Cricetulus griseus: one gene and its partner. The protein of the gene in region 2 purifies or fractionates together with the protein of the main gene of each other region. This does not show direct contact. Links are inferred from orthologs where the notes say so. Each region holds a gene or a part of one and is shown on either strand. Other genes may lie near its edges.

Evidence for each region.
Region 1: the proteins of Rel (region 2) and Tnip2 purify together in Homo sapiens (affinity purification with mass spectrometry; 3 studies listed by BioGRID and IntAct, counting the BioPlex papers as one, with this or other methods). This does not show direct contact. The link is inferred for Cricetulus griseus from reciprocal best matches to the Homo sapiens genes REL and TNIP2.

The regions. Positions count from the first base shown.
Region 1 is NW_023276807.1:103,495,460-103,505,783, forward strand, and holds the start of Tnip2 (TNFAIP3-interacting protein 2), read right to left. Parts: upstream 4,865-10,324; 5' UTR 4,721-4,864; intron 4,616-4,720; exon of another isoform or gene 4,572-4,615; 5' UTR 4,527-4,571; coding exon 4,248-4,526; intron 1-4,247. UniProt on the Homo sapiens protein: Inhibits NF-kappa-B activation by blocking the interaction of RIPK1 with its downstream effector NEMO/IKBKG.
Region 2 is NW_023276807.1:83,003,510-83,013,833, forward strand, and holds the start of Rel (proto-oncogene c-Rel), read left to right. Parts: upstream 1-3,694; 5' UTR 3,695-4,105; coding exon 4,106-4,127; intron 4,128-10,324. UniProt on the Homo sapiens protein: Proto-oncogene that may play a role in differentiation and lymphopoiesis.

The sequences.
Region 1 (10,324 bases), about 20 Mb from region 2:
TTTACCCATTGGGTCATCTTGTCAACCCTATTTCCTTCTTTTAGACTTTATTTATTCATTTATTTTGGCTTTTTTGGGGGGGTAATTTTTCAAGACTGAGGGTTTCACTGTGTAGCCCTGGCTGTTCTGGAACTCTACTTTGGCTTTTTGAGACAGTACCTCACTATGTAGCTCTAGCTAGAACTCACTATGTAGATCAGGCTTGCCTCAAACTCATAGAGATCCACCTGCCTCTGCTGTGGGGGTTCTAGATTAAAGACATACACCACCATGCCCAGCATTTTATATTTACTTATTTGTTTGTTTGTTTTTCAAGTAGACCTAGCCTCAAACTCAGAGAGATCCACTTGCCTCTCCCAAGTGCTGGGATCAAAGGTGTGTGCCACCATTGCCCAGAACAGCTTTTTATTTTAATTTATGTATCTGTATGTGAGTATGTATATGTGCATTCAAGTTACTATGGAGGCCAGAGAGGATGAAAAAAACAAAAACAAAACAAAACCTTGAAGCTTGAGTTACAGGCACTTGTGAGCCTCTTGATGCTGTGATCCAATCTTGGGTTCTCTACAAGAGCAGTATGTACTCTTAATTGCTGAGCTTCTTTCTAGACCCACATTATTAGATTTTAAAATTAAGGCCAGCTGCAGTTATTTTCCTTTGTTACAGATGAAGAACAAATGATTTAAAGCATAACCATGTTGCATTTACTAGTAGAATATAATGCCATTAAGAGGTAAGAAAAAGATGGTAAGAAATTTAAAAGTGCTACTGCATTTGCATTGATATGACAAGCACATAGTCTCTTTGACATTTGCCAAAACTGTGCTCACACATATTTGTCATCATAGAATGTATTACATTAGTTACTGTGGTTTGAATGAGAATGGCCCCCATAGGCTCAGATATTTGAATACTTGGTCCCTCGTTGGGTGAAATTGTTTTGGGAAGGAATGGGAGGCGTGGCCTTGTTGGAAAAGGTATGCCAGTCACTTGGGATGCGGGCCTTCACCAAGCCCAGTCTCTTCCTCTGTCACCTGCCTGTGGATCAGATGCAGGTCTCAGCTACTGCTCAGCACCATGCCTGCCTGCTGCCTCTCTTCCTATCTGATGGTTATGGATTCATCCTTGAAACTGTAAGCAAAACCCCAATTAAATTCTTTCTTTTACAAGTTGCCTTGGTCATGGTATCTCTTCACAGAAAAGTAACTAAGACAGTTACTAGTATATAGTCATAGAATGTATTCCATTAATAACTAATGTATTATATTAGTTACATTAGCCTTATCTTGTGCATACCTCTGCAAACCACATGACCAAAGAAGCTATATCATAGAAAAAAACAACTCTGAAATGAAAATGAACAGGATTGTTTTGTTTTGGTTGTTTTGTTGTTGTTTGTTATGTTTGTTTTTTGAGACAAGTTTCTCTGTGTGACTGTCCTGGAACTCACTTTGTAGACCATTCCAGCATCGAACTCACCTGCCTCTGCCTCCTGAGCACTGGGATTAAAGGTATGTGCCACCATTGCCCAGATTGTTCAGAGTTATTTTGACAGGGTAATTTTTGATACATATGTCTACTGCTAATACATTTAGTCAATTTGTTTTGGCAAACTAAGAAGCCATGCAATAGTTTTGTAACATTTAAAGTCACCACAATGTTAACAAAATTTCCTAAATAAAATTGCAAATAAGTCTTAAAATCCCTGAACAAAACCCATATGTCAGAGGACGAAGGACCAGTAGTACTGGAACCACAGACTGGTTCTGTCTGGGCCTCTAGAGAGCTTCCTGTGGATGCATCTGCACTGAACACCAATGGCTGCCAGGCTGCAAATTCAGTTCTGTTATGATTATGGGGAGCTCTTTTACCCCAACTGTTCCCACTGATATTCTGATAACACATTCTGGGGTGTCTTCAGAGCTCCACTCTGTACTCATCTGTGGCTTCTGATGTGCACAACACTAAGTTAGTGGCACAGACGAGGTAAACTCTACATTTCCCTTCTGCTCTATTTTACAACTCTCCTTCCAGAAAGAGGGAGAAGTGGAGTGGAAGACATCTGGATGCTCTTGGTGCTTTAAATAATACATATAGAAAACAATGACAATGTAATAGAAAGTAAATCTGTATAATAAGGGTCAACTCAACAATACCAAGAATATATGTCTTTGCAAAGGAAAAACAGGCAAGCCATGTGCAAAAAGCATGTGGGATTATTTTATTCTTGCCTTTATTTTTCAGATGTTCTGAATTTTACCATCAGAAAAAAAAATGCATTTTTTCCCTCTTAAATTTTGATGTGGCCAGAACTGGTGGCAAAGTCCTGTAATACCATCTACTTGGGAGACTAAGGCAGGAGGATCCAAAGTCAAGGCCTTCCTGGGATTCACAGTGAGTTTAAGGTCAGATTGTGTAACTTAGTGAGACCAGGTCTCAAACTAAAAAGTAAAAAGAGAACTGGAGATGCAGCTAAATGGTAGAGTACTTGCCTAGAATGTGTGAGGCTCTAAGTCAATCCCTAACACCAAAGGGAGTAGGAATAGGAGAAAGAAAGAAAAATCTAGCTGTGGTGGTGAAATCTTGGAAACAAACATTCTCCTTACAGGCAGGCTTACTTTCTTTGCTGGGAAAACCAGGATAGCTATGGACCAAATGCAGTAACATGCCAGTATGAATCCAAATGTGGGGGGAGGGTGTCTGATTTACAAATAACATTTATAAGAAAAACATTTCCCTTGGTTCAGTTTTGTATGCTTATGGTATCTCACAGAAGCCAAATAACACCAAATGACAAGGAGAACCAAAGAATTTACAAATTATCACATACTTGACAGGCTCTTCCTGTCACTTCTTGCAATATAATACTAAAAGCCACCAATCAAAGGCATGGGTCTTCTCTCTCAGAGCTCCATCCCTTGAACCCTTGCATCTCCCAGGTCCCTGGCGCCCCAAACAAGGTTCAGAAACCCACATTCTACAGAAGACCTCCCTAAGACAGAACACAATACACAAAACCTGCATTCCCACAACTCAACACACATACACACTGGAACCTACACACATTGTCAAAAAGCAATGCCTGTATGTCCTTGAGACGCTCTAGGCTCCATGCCTCAGAACCTATAGTGTCCCTTTAAACCCTGCACCCTCTGAACCCTGAACATTAGCCCTGCTCAGAACTCCATCTCCTTCAAACCAAGTGCCCTGATGTGTGAATAAGAACGGCCCCCATGGACTCATATATTTGAATGCTTAGTTGGGGGGATGGCACTATTTGAGAAGGATTAGGAGGTGTGGCTTTGTTGGAGGAACTGTGTCACTGGGGCTGGGCTTTCAGGTTTCAAAAGTCCACACCAAGCCCATTGTCTCTCTCTGCCTAGGGATCAGAATGTAGCTCTCAGCTACTACTCCAGCACCATGCCTGCTTTCGAGCAGCCATACTCCCCACCATGATAATAACCCCTCTAAATCTGTAATCAACCCCCTCCCATTGAAATGCTTTCTTTTATAAGAGTTGCTTTGGTCATGATATCTCTTGAAAGCAACAGAGCTGTGATGAAAACAGCTACACACCCCTTTGGGGTCTGGAGCACAGATTGGAGAAGCTAACTACCAACAGAACCATGTGTTCAAGACTACCTCAGTACCTCAAGCTCCACAGATCCCTGCATTCCAGGATAACCTCCTGCTCCTCAGATCTGCCACACAGAACTTCATGAGCAAGTTTACCTCAACAGTGCCCCTCAAAGTCGACAGACCCAGGGGGTCTCTCCCAAACTTACCTCCATTATATGTCCCTCGGAACTGTTCATAACCTGAGCCCCTGAGGACCGGGTACTTCTCAAATGTCCGCATCCCTAACACCCTGGTGCTCACCAGAAACCTGTGTCCCAGAGACACCTGCTCACCTCTGTGCGTTAAATGAATCTCCAACCGCTCAGGACCCTGGACTCCACATACTCTCGCCCTTCAGACCCCCCCTCAGGGTTCCCTGTGTCTCAGACCCCCGCGCCCTTCAGACCCTTTGAGTCTCAGGACCTCGTGCCCCCTCACAACCCTGCTCCCTTCAGACCCCCGCGTTCCCCCTAGACGCCCATGCCTCTGGACCTCACGCTCTTCAGACCCGCACCACACGCCTCATATCCTCGCACCCTCATATCATCAGCGCGACCATCAGGACCGGACTCGGGCTACACTCCAACAAGCTCCCGAGGCCTCCCGGGGCAGCAGCGCCCGCTCCGAACCTGGCGCAGCTGAGTCTCGGTGGCTCCTTCCTCCTGCCGCCGCAGCTGCTCACGGAAGCGCTCCACCTGATCCAGAAGCGCGTCCACGAGCGACGGCGCCGTGTCCCCTTCCAGAGCCTCTAGGCGGGTGCGGAGGCTCGCGATAAGGGCGTCGCGCGCGGCCAGCTGATCTTGCAGGCGCTGCAGCTGCTGGCCGGCCTCGTGGTACAGGCTACAGAGCGCGGCGGCCGCGCGCGGGGCACCGTCCTGTCTGCCAGTCCTTGCATCCCCAGACGACATGGCTGTGGACCTTCTCGGGGACCCCGGATCCTCGAACTTCTGCGCCTAGCGGGAGCAACAACCGACCTTCCCGGAACTTTTCCCGCCTCGCCCCGCCCACTCCCCCGGAGCCTAATCCGCCCCCACCCACAGTTGGCTCCGCCTCACTCACTGCCCGGAGTCTGACTCCGCCCCCTCCCACTCATCGGTCCTACCCTGTCTTGAGGCTTCCTTCTGGGGGCTATCCTAGGCCTACAGTCGCGGCGACCCTATTCCCTCCGTCTGTGAAATTTTCCCGGAGTCAGACCCAGTCTGCGACCAGGGTTTGGGGTTCGGTTTCCTCTGCCACAGCTGCTGAAGGAAAGCAAATAAATCAAATTACTTCAAACATTGGACGTGGGGTGTAGTTAAGGTTTCATTGGCTGGGCTCCTTCCTCTCCAGGGACTTGGCTTGCGTTTCGTCACGTAGGGACACTGAGCTCAGAGAGGACTTCCCATCCAGAATGCTTGCTGGGTCCCAGAGCCAGCCACCAGACCCCAGAGTACCCCTAAATTCGAGTTAGAACTGCCTTAGTGCTAGAAGCTGTTCTTAGAACAGAAGACAGGAGGGCACTATCGCTTTCCTTCCCACAGCTTCCATACAAACGCTGTCTTCCCTCTGGGAAGTGCTTCCTCCCCCAACCCCACCCCACCCCCACCCCCCCGCAGTGAGGATCTTCCAAAGGGCCTTGCTAAGGTCTCATGGGGGTCCCTTCATGTGAGGATGTGTTTCTCCTTCTTTGCTCAGTCTCCTGTGCTCAGCATCCTGTCTGTTCCCCTGGTGTGGTCCACAGACAAGGTCTGGCTGAGCCTGTAGAAACTCACCCACTTGCAGTATCAAACTATAAGCAAAGCTAGACCCTCCCTGCCAAGTATTTATGGGATGAACACTGGGAGTGGCACACCTGGCTTACCTATGGTCAGCTCCTTTTTAGTCCTCAGAGCCAAGACTCCTGTTCAGAAAAGATACTGTCTTCCCTACGTGGTAGGGGTGTTGTGGCACTAGAGAATGGGTGTGTCTGTTTCTTTTCTATTGCTGAGACAAAAATGCCACCACCAAGGCAGCTTAAAAGAGAAAGCATTTTAGCAGGGCAGTGGTAGCACATGCCTTTAATCTTAGCACTCAGGAGGCAGAGGCAGGTGGATCTATGTGAGAAACCCTGTCTCAAAAAAACAAAACAAATAAGCAAAACAACATTTAATTGGCCATGAAGAGTACATCTTGACTGACTGAGGCAGCAGCAGGATAAAGAGGAAGGGGCAGGGGAGGGCACCACACAAAAGAACCCTAGCCCAGAGCTGATTTGTGCTTTTAAGTCTTCACTGTTAGTGCCATATGTAGCCTGGGGTAAGTGCTTTTGATCCCAATTGTGAACTACAAAAATAAACACCAAACAACCCAGAAACTTCCAACACACTCTGGGTCATATGTGTTTGGAGTTCAAAAGCTTTGGTTTTAGGTAGGTACGTATGACTGAGGTAACCACCCTCTAAAATGGAGGTCTCTTCCCAGTATCCATGCATACAGCCCCCATACAAAAAGTAGTAGTACTTGATGTCTGTAACTGAGAGGCCGCTGGGGGAAATGGTGGTGGGAGACCGCTGTAGCAAAGCCATGAGACACATTTTGTCTATTGACTCAGCCAGTTTGTCCACTTCAGTGAAGGAACCAGTTTAGAACTAAATCATCTGGCCCCGGTGAGGTCTCTGAGAGATTGCAGGCCCAGCTCATATGTTGGCTTCCATCTCAGAGAAGTTCCTGTACCTTATTTCCCAGGTATACTGCTCCAAGGCGCCTAACAAACTGCAAAGTAACAAATGTAATGTTTCAAGCTGCTAGCATGGGGGGTGTCTTTTAAAAATGTGTGTAAGGGGGCTGGAGAGATGGCTCACAGGTTAAGAGCACTGACTGCTCTTCCAGAGGAACTGAGTTCAATTCCCAGCACCCACTTGCAGCTCACAACTGTCTGTAACTCCAGTTCAGGGGACCTGACACCCATAGTAAAACACTAATGCACATAAAATAAAAATAAGTGTGAATATGTGTGTGATATGTGTGTGTATATGTGAAGATGGAGATTAACATATCTTCTTGTGAATTATTTTAGCAACTATTAGCTATAGACAACTTACATTGTTACCGATTCTTATATGTTAAAACTTATGTAAAATTAACTTTGTATTCCTGTTTTGGATAATTGTATATTATATTTGTCATACTATGTAGACTTCTTCTTTCTGTTTATGATGTTTTGTGCACAAATATAAAACTTTCTTTACCATATTCTATGTATGTATGCTTCTACATATGCTTGAGATATTTTGTATATTGATATAATTTAGGATATTTTTATTATGTTGCACTATACAGTTCTACCTCTAGCCAAGACATTTCAGTTCTACCTCTATTTTAGAAATTTACATATATATGTTTAAATTTACAAATTTGAGGTCATTGTCCTAATGCTACACACATATATGTTTAAATTTACAAATTTGAGGTCATTGTCCTAATGCTACACACCAGTTTTAAGATTGTTTAAATTATTTTGGGAAGCTTCAGTCACTGAGCAATTATGTTTCTGAAAATTACAGATTATAGTTACCCATGCTTCTTATACCTAATGATGTTAGTGAGGTTCTATATGTGTTCAAAGATGTACCCAACATAGATATTTGATCTTCAGACACTTCAAAGACCTACAGAATATGGCATTTAAATGTTTTAATAATTTAAAACTCCGTTGACATGAGACATAATTGCTCCTGACAGCACCAACTTATTCCCGAGAGTATGATAGACACCAATGACACTCCATTTGGAGTTTGTTCTCTTCTTGGCTACTGGCCTCTTGGGCAAAGAACTGCCCCCACTGCAACAACTGACTTTGGACACGCTGTCCTAACTGGGCTAGCAGGAGATAAACTTAAACTGCTAAACCTTGCCAAGTCAGGGTAAGACAGTCTTTCAATTTCCCTCCTTCTGAGATGGTCTGTCTGATACTCTAGGCCTTAGCCAAAGTTGGTTGTCTGGACATTACTGTGAGACCTTGGGTGACTGTCCAGGTAGCCTGCTGTTTCTGTCTTCTCTTGCACCTTTAGGAAGTCACACACTTGCACTTCCTGCCTACCCTAGTAATGTTCTTGTCCTTCTCAGGTCTTTAATGAGGTTGAAGGCTAGACAGTCACAGATAATATCCTCTCTTATCTTAGATAGAAAATACTAGGTACAAGACTTAGACTTTCCAGATTAGGACAGCTATTAGAGTAATCTTTGTTATATGCCATTACCCTGAAACTGCACATGTAGAATGTGTCTATTGCTCAATATTGCTCTTGCTGGTTGTGGGTCTTAATTTGTGTATGTTTTTACCTTTCCTTCTCCTGGAATATACTTGACATTTGTTATCATTGTATATAGTTTTTGTATCAGGCTTAAACCTTCTTCTTTAGACAAAAAGGGGAATTATAGTGGCATCTTGCCAGTGAATGTGTAATAGTGGCCACACCATTTGGGCATGGTTTCAGGTGACCCCTTTAAGGTAGAGGAGCTGTGGGCACACACTCTCTTGGGTCTTGGAAATCATCGGAAGGGCAGAGACTGCATCTCCTGGAGCAGGAAGGCCACAGAGGTTATTACTCTTATCTGTGTAAGTTCTTCCCTAATAAAACACCTACTTATCATTTATCTTTTGTCTGGTGAACTCATTTCAACCCTGCCTTCACATATGTATACATAACGTGTGTGTGTGTGTGTGTGTGTGTGTGTGTGTGTGTGTGTGTGTGTGTTGGTGTTGAGTGTCTTAAATTCTGTTCACCCTATCAATCTTCTGAGACAAGGTGTATCAGTGTGTCACTGAACCTAAAATTCACAGATTGGCCAGCAAATTTCAGGGATCCACCTATCTCCAACCCTCAACCCCCATGCTAGAGTCATAGATGTGTGATCGTGCTTGGCTTTTACATTGGTGCTGTGAATCCAAAATCAGATTCTCAGGCTATCTGTTTCACTGGGCTCCCTTGAAGATCTTTCTGTTGTTTTGTTTTGTTTTCCTCTTTCCTCTTTTGGTTTTGAGACAGAGTCTCATATTGTAGCCCTTGCTGGCCTGGAATTCTATGTAGACCAGACTGGCCTGGAACTCATAGAGATCCACCTGCCTCTGTCTCCCTAGTGCTGGGATTAAAGGCACATGCCACCAGCACCCATAATTTTTTCTTGTCCTTTATTTTGACATAAGGTCCCACTCTGTATTCCAAACTGGAACTCACTTTATAAACCAGTCTAGCCTCAAACTCTTGGCAATCTTCCTGCCTTAGCTTCCTGAGTTTGGATTATACATAAAGCTACCGTCCCCATAGTAACAGAACATTAGCAATTGGCATACAATTTAGGACTCCTCTGGGGGCATCTTTCAGCCCACAGAACAAGTCAGTTTCTGAAAATACAAAGGGAATGGCCATTCAAGTTAAGTATGAGAATGTTCTTGTCAGCTTTATTACCAACTTTAAGGAAACACTTTGGGTTTCTGAGCTCTTGGGGACTGTAGAACTGTAGATGGAGTTTGCAGACTTCTAAGAACACTTACCTTCCATGGCATGGTTAAGAGTCTTCAAGTTAACACAGAAAGTTCCCGGCACACACACACATCTTTAACTGAAATTCAGCTACAGGACCTAGGCCCTAGAGATTTATATTTAGAGATTTGTTGTTGCTGTTGTTTGGTTTTTGTAATTGTTTTGTTTGGTTTTTTATTTGTTTGTTTGTTTGTTTGACAGGGATTCTCTATGTAATAGCCCTAGCTGTCCTGGAACTTGTACACCAGACTGGCCTCAAACTCACAGAGATCCAACTGCCTCTGCTCCCCAAGCCCCCATCAAATGCTGGGATTAAAGGCATTCTACACCACTACTGGGCATTATAGGTAAATGTTCTAATACTGCAGACAGAAGCCCAGTCCAAGAAGTAGGGGAAGTTTGTATACATATATTGGTTAATAATCACCACCAGATTAACTGGAACATACTTGGGAGCGTGGGAGGTTTCCAGGAAGGATTAATTGAGTAAAGAAGATCCCTTCTAAATGTAGGCAGAACCATCCCTTGCACCAGGATCTGGGCTGAATAAAAAGGAGAAAGTGAGCTGAGTACCATGTTTGTCTCCTTTGGCTTCCTGGGATGTGGCCTCATGCTCCAGCTGCCATACCTTCCCCTTATGATGGATTGTGTACCCTCAAACCAGGAGCCAAAGTAAGCCTTTTCTCCCTTAAGTTGCTTGTCATTGGGTATTTTGACTCAACAACAAGAAAAGTAACTAATGCAGTAAGGAAAAAAAGGGGGAAATATGTGGGGACCATGAGGGGGTGGGGAAACCCACCTTAAAGAGGGTGATTAGATGAGCCAGAGCACAGACCTAGGATCCCAGCATCCAAGAGGCTGAGGCAGGAGGATCATAAGTTTTAGACCAGCTTGGTTCCAAAGTGAGCATTTGTGTTGGGGAGGGGGTGACGATTAAAGAGGAGGTGGTATATCTATTTTAATGTGAAAGATGAAGAGAAGCCTGGCACTTGTGTTCCCAAGAAAGGGAAACAAGCAAAAGGGAGGGTTCTCAGGGTACCCAAGTGTAGGATAGGAGAAGACTGAAGCTCTCCAGGCCCTCAGAGAGACTGCATTTCATTCCAGGTCCTGATGGGCCATGGGTTTCAGGTGATCCCAGTGGAGCAGGTGGACAGGCCACTCAGCTAACTCTAGCTTAATTTGCTGATGGACTCACACACAGGTCC
Region 2 (10,324 bases):
TAGTTTCCAGCTGCTGGTTGGAGACCAGTTCTTTTATTTTAACCTCAGTTATTAGCATTGACTCTCAGGTCAGGTCACACAATACATACACGTATGTGTGTGTATACATGTATACGTGGTTAAACAATGCCTAAGAAAGGGTAAAGAGGCCACAGAATTCAGAGGCAGAAAGCATACACAGGCACAAGGAAGAGTATGGGAGATTGGGCAAGAAGTCCAACTTCAGACATCCAGCTGTTCAGACACAGAGCTGTTTAGGTCAAATGCTAGTCCAAGTCACAGGACATTTCCAGGGTCAGTTTGATGTGAGCTGAATGTCACCTGCAGGAGACTCTGTTGAAGCTTGAGACTGGGACAGAGTCAAAAGGAGTCCTAGCACTTATCCTAGATGAGGATTATGGCAGTTAACTGGGTGGCAGTTAGCATATCTGTCACATTCTGGTCTTGGGGTGCTCCTTCTTTTATAGAGTCAGGTAAGGGGGTTGATTGTATGTTACATGATCACTAAGTTCATGTTCGGGGCACTTCTGATTGCCATTTGATATATTTAGGCTTGGTCTGTGTCTCCTGGTATGATGGCAGATAATTATAAGTGAGAGAGTAGACTCATTCTTTTTTGGCACTTACACTCAAAACAGAATAACTCAGGTCATGGTTGTTGCTTTATAAAATGGATTAATTCATTTTGGTGGCTTGAATGGGAATGGCCCCAATTGGCTCATATATTTTAATTTGGTTCAAAGTTGATGAAACTATTTGGGAAGGATGAGGAGGTGTGTCACAGGGTGGGCTTTGATGTTTCAAAAGCCCACACCATTCCCAGTTGGCTCTTCCTCTCTCTCTGCCTCGTGGTTGTCCCAAGATGTAGGCTCCTAGCTACTTCTCTGGTGCCCTGCCTCCCATGCTCCCCACCATAATGGTCAGGGACACCAACACTCTGGAAACATGAGCCCTCAAATTAAATGCTTTCTTTTATAAGTTACCTTGGTCATTCATGCATTTTGTCACTGTGATAGAAAAGTAACTGAGGTGGCTAGGTGATATTCCACATCGCAGAGTAAGTCAGAGCAGGCCCAGCCTGTTCTCCTCAATATTGGTACTGCAATATGGAAGGTACCTGGGTCACTCCTGGAGGAGAGCCAGTCAACACTCAGGGGGCTTTGTACTAACTTGTTGAAATTGAGGTTGTTAGTGATAGTCCTGAGCATAATATAAATCCACACCCTGCACCAGCTAGTACTCCATTTCTGTTTTCTTCAACACTCTTCCAAAAGTTTATACCTACCACATCCATCAGTCTCTCCTCAACCTGCTTCAACCCAGCTTTATGATCACCGTTTTTATAGCTCAGTTTTCAAGTCATAACTGACCTCCATTTCAAAAAATTATTTGATTGAGGCAGGGTCTCCTAATATAAGCTAGGCTAGCCTTGAACTTCAGACCCTTTGGCATCAGCTGGCCTAGTCCTGGGATTACTGGAAAGTGCTATTCCACCCAGTTTAATTACTCTATTTTGCCAAAATCAAGTTCATTAAAAAAAATCCTCAGCTGCTTCAATTTTCCAAGCTAGCCCTGACGTCAAATATCTGACCTCCTTTTACTATTTCTGCACAAACACTAGTACAGTCAAGGTCTCAATTCCATTACTACAACAGTCTAACTGCTCTGCCTTCACCCCAGGTAGCACACACTAATAGCTTAACATATCAGCCAGGGCAAAATCTGCAAATGTAAGTATATATCAATTGTATGGTTAAGATTTTCCAATAGCAATCATTGACTCAGCTCAAGTATCACTTCCATAGAGTATCCCCTTTAGAGAACCCAGGCAATTTCTATTACTCCAGCCACCTTATTTTCTTTATAGAAATAAAGTAACAAGAATATTTATGTGTTTTCTTTTTGAGACAGGCTCTCCTATAGCCTAGGCTGGCTTTGTAAATTCATTATACAGTGAAGTATGACCATGAACCCCTGCTACTCCTACCTCTGCCTCCTGTGTGCTGGGATTACAGACATGTAACACCCAGTGCTAAAAGTACCACAGGCTGTTCTCTATAAACCCCAATAACTAGCAGCCTTATCCATAGTAGAGTAACAACAGCTCCTGCCCAGCACAAGGTCTAAAAACTTGGTGAGAATTTAAATCTCTCTTGGCTTCAAGATGTAGCTTCCTATTTACTTTTTCTTTAGGTAAAAACAATTAAGCAAGTATAAAATATATTGCATGGATGTGGCTACAATAAAGGCTGAAGTGTCTGAGTGTGTGTGTGTGTGTGTGTGTGTGTGTGTGTGTGTGTGTGTGTGTGTGTTCCAGAGTGCTGGACGTAATTCACCCTACTAATTGCTTTGTTGTTGTTGTTGTTTTTTCTTTGTGGTTTGCCTATGATTGTGTTTAATGAAAGAAAAAACTGCTATTTCTACCTTTTGTGAAGTCACTTTTGAATTGACAGATTTTAATTATTTCCTTAGGAGTGTCCTTCACTTTGGGTACTTGTATGACAGGATGGTTTCTTTCTCTTTTTTTTTTAAATGACAGGATGACATATATTTTAATTATCTAGTTGACTTTTTTTGGCGTCCTGCCAACTGCATGCATTCGGGCACACGTGGAGGTCAGAGGACAACTTTTGTAAGTTGGGTCCTCTTCCTTCCATGGATTGAACTCGGGTTGTCAGGCTTGGTGGCAAGCGCAGTTACTCCCTAAGCCATTTTGTCAGCATTCAGGATGCCATTTTTTTTTTTTTTTAATTTCCCTTTCATACTTGTTTTAGTCAGTAAGTGACTGGAGAGCGCAAGAGGTGGAGCCAGATAACCCTGGGTTATTTTTGTTGTTGAGACAATCCACCTGCCTCAGCCCCTCGAGTGCTGGGAGTGCTTTAAACTGGGCTGGGTAATCTTAAATCGTGCGCTCTTAAGTACCTACCTACGAGCTACTTCTCCAAACCTCAGTCAACTCGTGTATACAATGAAGATGATTTACCAAGAGACCGGGTACCTAAGAGGCAAACCAGACCTGTCTACGAGTACAAGTTCGGGCCCGGCCTTAGCTGGTGGGTATCTCGGTCAAATCTCTGGACGTCCTGTTCACGTACACGGACTGGGGCGGGGGCCTCGCCGCGCAGCCCCTCGGGGCTGAGAACGCTTGGTACGTAAAAGACGTAATGTCGATACAGAGCGAAAATCAGACTGCGGGGGTCCCCGTATGCAAATTCACGCCTTGCAGCCGAACGCGGGCGCCGGCGCTTCCGCACTTCCTCCGAGGGCTCCGGCGGCGGCCGGCGGGCCGGCGGGCGCGGCGGGCGGCCGCGCTGCGGCGCGGGGGCGGAGATTTGCATGTGCGAAATAGGGAAGAGGGGGAACCACCGCTCCGAAAACCCCGGGCGGGCCTCGGGCGGCCGAGGACCCGCCTCCGGCCGAGCGACGTCACGGACACGCCCCTCGTCCCCTGGCTTCAAGCCGCGTTCTGAAGGCCACCGGAGGAGGGGGATTTCTCTGGGGCCCGCGGCTTCTCACGCGCGCGCGCGGAGCCGTCACCGCGCCCGCCGCCCCCCCCCACTCCCCACCCCGGGAGCTCCTCGCGCGAGCGCGCCTCTCGCCGTGGCTCTGGAGGGGAGCGGAGCGCGCGCCCCCGCCCTGGCCCCGCCCCCCGCCCCGGGTAGGCGGTGGCGCGAGTGACGCAAGCAGCGGGAAATCCCCGTTCCGCCAGGCGGTGCGCCCCGCCCCCTGCCCCTGCCGCGGCATCCTGGCAGGGCGACACCAGGACACTAGTGACCCGAGCGTGAAGATTCAGGGGTGGGAAGGTGTGAGCCGCAAACCCACCGGGGCCCGGGAAAGAAGAGGAGGCCCGGGGGTGGGCAGAGGACTGGGGTCGGGCTGCAGAGGCTGCTCGGCCTCCTGACTGACTGACTAGCCGGCTGGCTGGCTCATTGGCTGACTTGCTGGTTGGCGGGCTGGCGGCTGGCTAACTGACCGACTGGCTGGTTGATTGACTGACTGACTGGCTGACTGACCGGCTGGCTGAGTGGCTGACCCGCTGGCTGACTGGCTTGCAGCCTCCGGCCGGACGCTGGAAGCCGCGGCGGGCGGCGCGCAGAGCCGAGCCATGGCCTCGGGTGAGTACCGAGGTGAGCATCTGCGAGTCCCGGGAAGGCTCGGTTTGGGGTTGGGACATTCTGCCTTTCAAGTCGTCTCCTCTGGCAAACTGTCAGCCATTTAAAAAGTTACCTGCTTCGGGGTTTGCGTGCGAAATCAAAGCGGCGCACTGTAATCTGATCTCCTTGTTGTAATAGCCAGAACCTTCGAAATTCCCACCGGCGTGGTTTTAGGATGGGGAGGGGGGCGCGTGAGCTCGATAAAGGAGGCAGACGAGCCTGGCATTTAAAGACCGGCCTTGAGACGCCAGTTTACATCTTTGAACAAAAAGAGGAACCTCAGGACCTCGGGCGAGCTTTCTTTTTTAAATCCTATCGTGCCAGGAGCTAATCGCTCTTGGGCTGACAGTTGTACAGAATGTGGCGCGGCTGTAAGTGTCCTCGGTGGCGTTTTAACTCGTTCCAAGTGAAAACACTAGCTTTTTCCCTCCCTCAGAGCTGAAGGGATTCCTTGTCTAGTTTGCCTCTCAGAGACGTCGACCCCTCTGCTCCCAACCTGCTGGAACATTTTGTTAGCAAGAGGGCGAGACGAGTTGTCGATTGTGCTTTAAAATAACTAGTGGGGAAAATAAAATAACTAGTGGGGATGAAAAGTGTGATCACTTAGTGTAAATGTTTCTTTAGGGGGCCACCTTTATAAGAAAACAGTTTACTTGCTCGCTTTCTGTACAGCAGGGCAGTCATATTAGGCGAGTTCATCCAGCAGCCCCAGGTGGTGGTGGGCGCTTTCCTGGTCTTGGGAACTGAAGCCACACTTTCAGTCTAGCGGGATGCTGACCCCTGATCTTCCCAGTGACCCTTCAGGGTCTCTGAGGAGAAGGCAGCCGACGTCTAGCAGAGAAGAGGAAGTAGAAAGCTTAATGAACTCTTTTAAGAGTTGAACAATGCCATAACTCCTACTGTAGGCCGTAAAGGAAACTGGGGTGTTTCACATGACACTTGATTTCAGTTTGTCTGTGGTTTTCATGAGAAAACAAATGTAGTTTAAAATATTTCAACTTTCTCTTTACCCATTTAAATGAACCCAGACTTTCAGGTAATCTTGTAAATTCGTAAATGTAACTCATGCTCAGATTAAAAACAGAAAGAAGGCTCCAAATATTTCATTAACTCACTGTAACCAGAAAAGATGTTGCATGAAAGTTGTAAAGTGGCAGGCTTTGTTAAATAAGACAGCTCTGCCCTCATCTACTTAACAGGATTTTAATGTAGTACATGAATGTAATACTTGAACTTTTTCAAGAGAAAAATCATTTATTACGTAAAGTACTGTAAGACAGCCATGATTTTGAAGTGTCATACAATTGAAATTTGTCTAATGACACATATTTTGTGCTGTTATACAAATGTTTCCCAAAATTAAACCGGGGGAATTTTTAAAGAATGGCAAGAATTTCAAAGCTGTGTTGGGGTTGTAGCTCTTGAGAGTGAGTTTACTCAGCTTCTGTGAAGCCCTGGGTTGGATTCTCAGTACTGTCAGGGAAAAAAAAAGAAAAGAAATCTGTAAGTTGTAGTGTCGTTATCTTCTTGCTTTTTTCTTAATCAAGGGCTGCCCTAATTAGACTATTTAAAATACATCGTGTCATTTTAATTGTAATTTGGTTAATTGAAACCTCTAGGCAAAATGTAGTTTAAAGGAGTCTGGGTACATTATCAGTTATAAAGACCATATAGAGAAAAAATTGTGAAATACATATAAAATCCCCATTCCATTTGGAATAGTAAGTTAAGAACAACAAAATTTGCTCAATTTATCACTAATTTAGATTATTTTTGTAATATGGTATTGAAACCTTGAAAAGTATTCTTATTGCTTATCAAACATTTAAGACCATTTGTTCATTTCTCTCTGGATGTCATATGTAAATAGGTATGTATAATTGAATAGGTGGTGCCTATAATGTAAAAGTATCATAGATCACAATTGCATAAGCAGAATCATATAAATGCCACAAGTAAACAGGATTTTACATGATGATTCTAATTATTGTTCAGGTAAATTAGCAAATTATTACTTCTTATCTAGCCATTAAGCTGCTTTTCATTGCCCCTATAAAAATACTGTGTTTTGATTCTAGCCTTTCAATATGATTAATTGTAGTAGGCAAATCCTATTTACTCTTACTTGCTTTATGCCCATATTTAAAGCTTCTCATTATTTCTTAAAAAGAACAAAATGGGGGGGCACAGATACCTTGTGTGGCACATATTGTAACTACTAATGATTGATACTTATGTCTTTGGTGAAATGTGCTTTAAATTTTAGAAAGTATGTCTTTAGTCACATTTTTTTCTGTAGTATTATTCATCTGTATCACAGAACAGGAAGTACAGAAAGAAATTATTTTTGTAGATGGTACTAGTCACCAACTTTCTGTATGTGAATTTCAAGGTAACCTTTTTTTCTCTAATAAAAGTGAATGCAACTGAGAGACTGCTTACACTTTAATAATAGAGCTGGAAGTTAGGAGTGGTTAGCCAAAACAAATGACTTCCTTTTTTTTTAAAGTAAGACTGCTCACAAATATTTCAGAAACGAAACATATGAAAATCGATAAAAGTGTTATCAAAATTAGTAATGCATAATAAAGAGAATTAGTGAAGAAAATGAATGGCAAAATCATAATTAGGAACACAGAGTATGTGTGGTGTTTTTCTCAAAAAACAATTTAAGGGACTCAGAATATTTTTGTCTCAATTTTCTTCCATCTGTGTTCTCTGCATAATTGTGTTTATGAGCACATGATCTGAATATTGCAAATGAGAATACATTTATCCAAAAGTAATTGTTCATGTGAAATTTGTATTTAACTGAATCTCTTGTATTTTTAAGTCTGAAATCCTAATAGAGATGATTTGATGCTTCCATGTATTTTTTATTCTAGGAAAGACTTTAAACGTTACTTCCTCATTCTAGCAGGTAAAAACCTTAGGTTTTTTTCCTGTACCCACAGCAGTGAAATCTTACTGCAAAGTGTTTCCTTCCCTTTGATTTGCCTTGGGGTATATATATACATCAGTTGAATGCCTCTTGCTTGAAAGTCAGCAGGATATATTAAATTTCTAATATATATTTATATGTTTGTGTGTGTGTGATGTTGTTGTTTTGTTTTGTTTTGTTTTGTTTTTTTTCTGTTAGGGTCTCATGTAACCCAGGATAGCTATATAGCTATGATGACCTTAAACTCCTGATTCTCCTGCCTCAGCCTCCTGAGTGCTAGAATTTCAGGTGTGAGTGACCAGAAAAAGGATAACTCTTAATTACTTTTTCCCAGAATGAATAGAGATGATATTTGGGAATGTATGATTATTAGCCGTTTGCTCCTTTGGGTCCCAGGCAAAGTCTGTTACATAGGATTTCTATAAGACAGAGGCACTCTGATTGGCTGTTCTCAACTCTAGTTAGTATAACCATCATTTGTGTGCTGTATTGTAAATAATAAAGGAGTGATAGTAGTTCAAAATAATACTTTGTTGAAGAAAGCAGTCAAAATCTAGTTTTAGAATGTTTTCTACATTGCACTTGAATACGCTTTCCTTTTTCTCCTTCCTTCCTTTCTTCCTTCCTTCCCTCCTTCCTTCCTTCCTTCCTTCCTTCGTTCCTTCTCTCTCCCCCCTTTCTTTTTTGTGAGTAGAATAGAAAAAGGAATGACAACTAGCCCTGATTGTTTTACCTGCCTTATCCATAATCTCGTTTGTACTTGGATCTGAACTTTGAGTTGCTTTCCTGAATAACTTCATTGTTATTTTTACTTTCTTGTGTTTTAGAGAACTTGGTCTTCAGAGTATTTAGACTAAGTTGGAAGGCTTTTTCAGAAATCTGTCTGGGCTTTATTCTTGAAGAGCTATGTTTCTCTTCAGATGTCTGTGAGGTTAGGGTATAACTTACTGTTTGGAAAAGCTACCTAGGTGGTTTCTGAAGTACAGCCCCAGGACAAATTTTATTCCAGGGACTACTTTTAATCTAAATATTTGCCTTGTGTTCTTCAGGTAGCTGTATTGATTTTAGATTATAGGTTATAGCCATATCTGTTGTTGTGATTTTATGCTTAACTGCTTTTTTCTTGTTATATAAGTAAAGTAATTGATTTTATTCAAAACCTTGGTTGTAATTATATCTCTTCAATTTAATGACTCCTATGACTTTTGTTCTTTCAACAAAAAGATCTCATGGAACAATGTTACTCTTTATCATTCTTTTCATATCTCATCTGTGGTCATAGACCCAGAAGACATCCATTTGGTAGTCAGATTTGTTAGCTTCTTGGATTATGACTTCTTCACTAATATATTATCAAAAATGATTAGTGTGCATATGTGTGTGTGTGACAAGGCATAGTGCTGCATTCCTTTAATCCCAGCACTTGGGAGGCAGAGGCAGGCAGAGCTCTGAATTCAAGGCCAGTCTGGTCTATTAAGCAAGTCCCTGGCCAGTGAGACTGTCTCAAAAGATAAACAAAAAGGAATAGAATAATAATAATCTTTTTCTCAAAATTTCATATTATTTTCAAGTTTAGTTTTATTGTCTCTAAAATGAGATAATAATACCAGTTTTCCTTATGAAGTTTAAAGTTAAGAGGACCAGTGAGAAATACCTATGTATGTTTTAATTAGTATATGTGCACTTAATTCTAACTTCTAATTCTAGCAATAACATTTTAGTAGATATGCCTATTATATATATAATTTGGACAATTGATCTATTTCTAACATTTCGGTGTAATTTCTTTTTAATTTTAAAATCTCATACTTGAATTAGTAAATAGAAATTAATACACAAGTAAATAGTAAATATTAATTAGTAAATAGTAAAAGGAAATGTAAATAGTAAAAATTAGTAAATAGTAAAAAGAGAGTAAATAGACTCAATGTTTTCAAAGAGCATTCCTTTTTGCCTAAGTGCACATGAAAACTTTGCAAGCATTTTAGCTGTAATTCAAAGGTTATTCTAGTCAGTATTAGCATTTACAATGCAATTCATGATATAGGGTTCAGTCCTTACTTTACACTGCCCTGGTTAAAAAAAATTAAATTGTTTAGAAACAATTTTGAAAACATTTCTATGCTTTTAAGAACTGTAGTGACTTTCGGTAATCTTGGTTAAGAGTATTTATTTTCCCTAAGGTTCCCTGATGTATAATTTTCTCTTCTTCCCTTCATTGAGGACTACATTTTTGCATCTTTCATCTTCAGGAGGAATGGCATTGCAAAACAGTACCAGGGAAGGATATGATTGGCTCATTGTACTGATATATAATACAGACAGTTTCATAGCAAGGAGGATTTTAAAAGTCATAGATACAGTTAAGATATGAACATATATGAGAAAGCATGAAGGTGTAGTTCTAGTGCCTACAAAGCAATATTTTTTTCAGTTATAGAGGAATCTAATAAGGAGGAACTGATAAATCATTTATACAGTACTTTAATTTTTGAATAACTGACACAAAAGAGCTTTGGGATTTTAATCTCTCAACAGATGTTAACTTAAGGCATTAATAAGTAATACAATTTCTGTGATTCAGTAACTTGAAGAAGTAAAACATGTAGCATTATTTCAATAACAAAGCTGGGTGTAGTGGCAGAAATCTGTAACCCTGGTACTTGGAAGGTAGAGAGTCTAGAAGATCAGAAGTTCAAGGAAAGCATTAAACTACGGATTGAGTTTGAGGTCAGCCTAAGTTACTTGGGATCCTGTTTCAAAAAAAGGATGATGTAGCTCAGTTGGTAGAGTAGCTGCCCAGTATTTGAAAGTCCTGGATTTGATCCCCAGCACTGTACAAAGCTCTTTGATAGTGGAAACTGTAATTTCAACACTTGTTCAAGGCCAGCCTAGGCTACAGAACAACTTAGAGGCCAGCCCTAAAATAAAATCCTGTCTCAAAAAATAAAGAACACGATAGTTAATTTTCTTAAACTAATGTTCTTTGGAATAATTCTGTAAACAAAAATATATGATTATTAGTTTATAGAATTGTTTCTCATCCTGTGGGGCCGCATATCAGATGCCCTGCATATCAGATATTTACATTATGATTCATAATTGTAGCAAAATTACAGTTATGAAGTATCGACAAAAATAGTGTTATGGTTGGGGGTCACCACATGAGGAAAGTTATTTCCAATTGGGGGAATGTATATAAGTCAGATTATAAATTCTGAAACTTGGT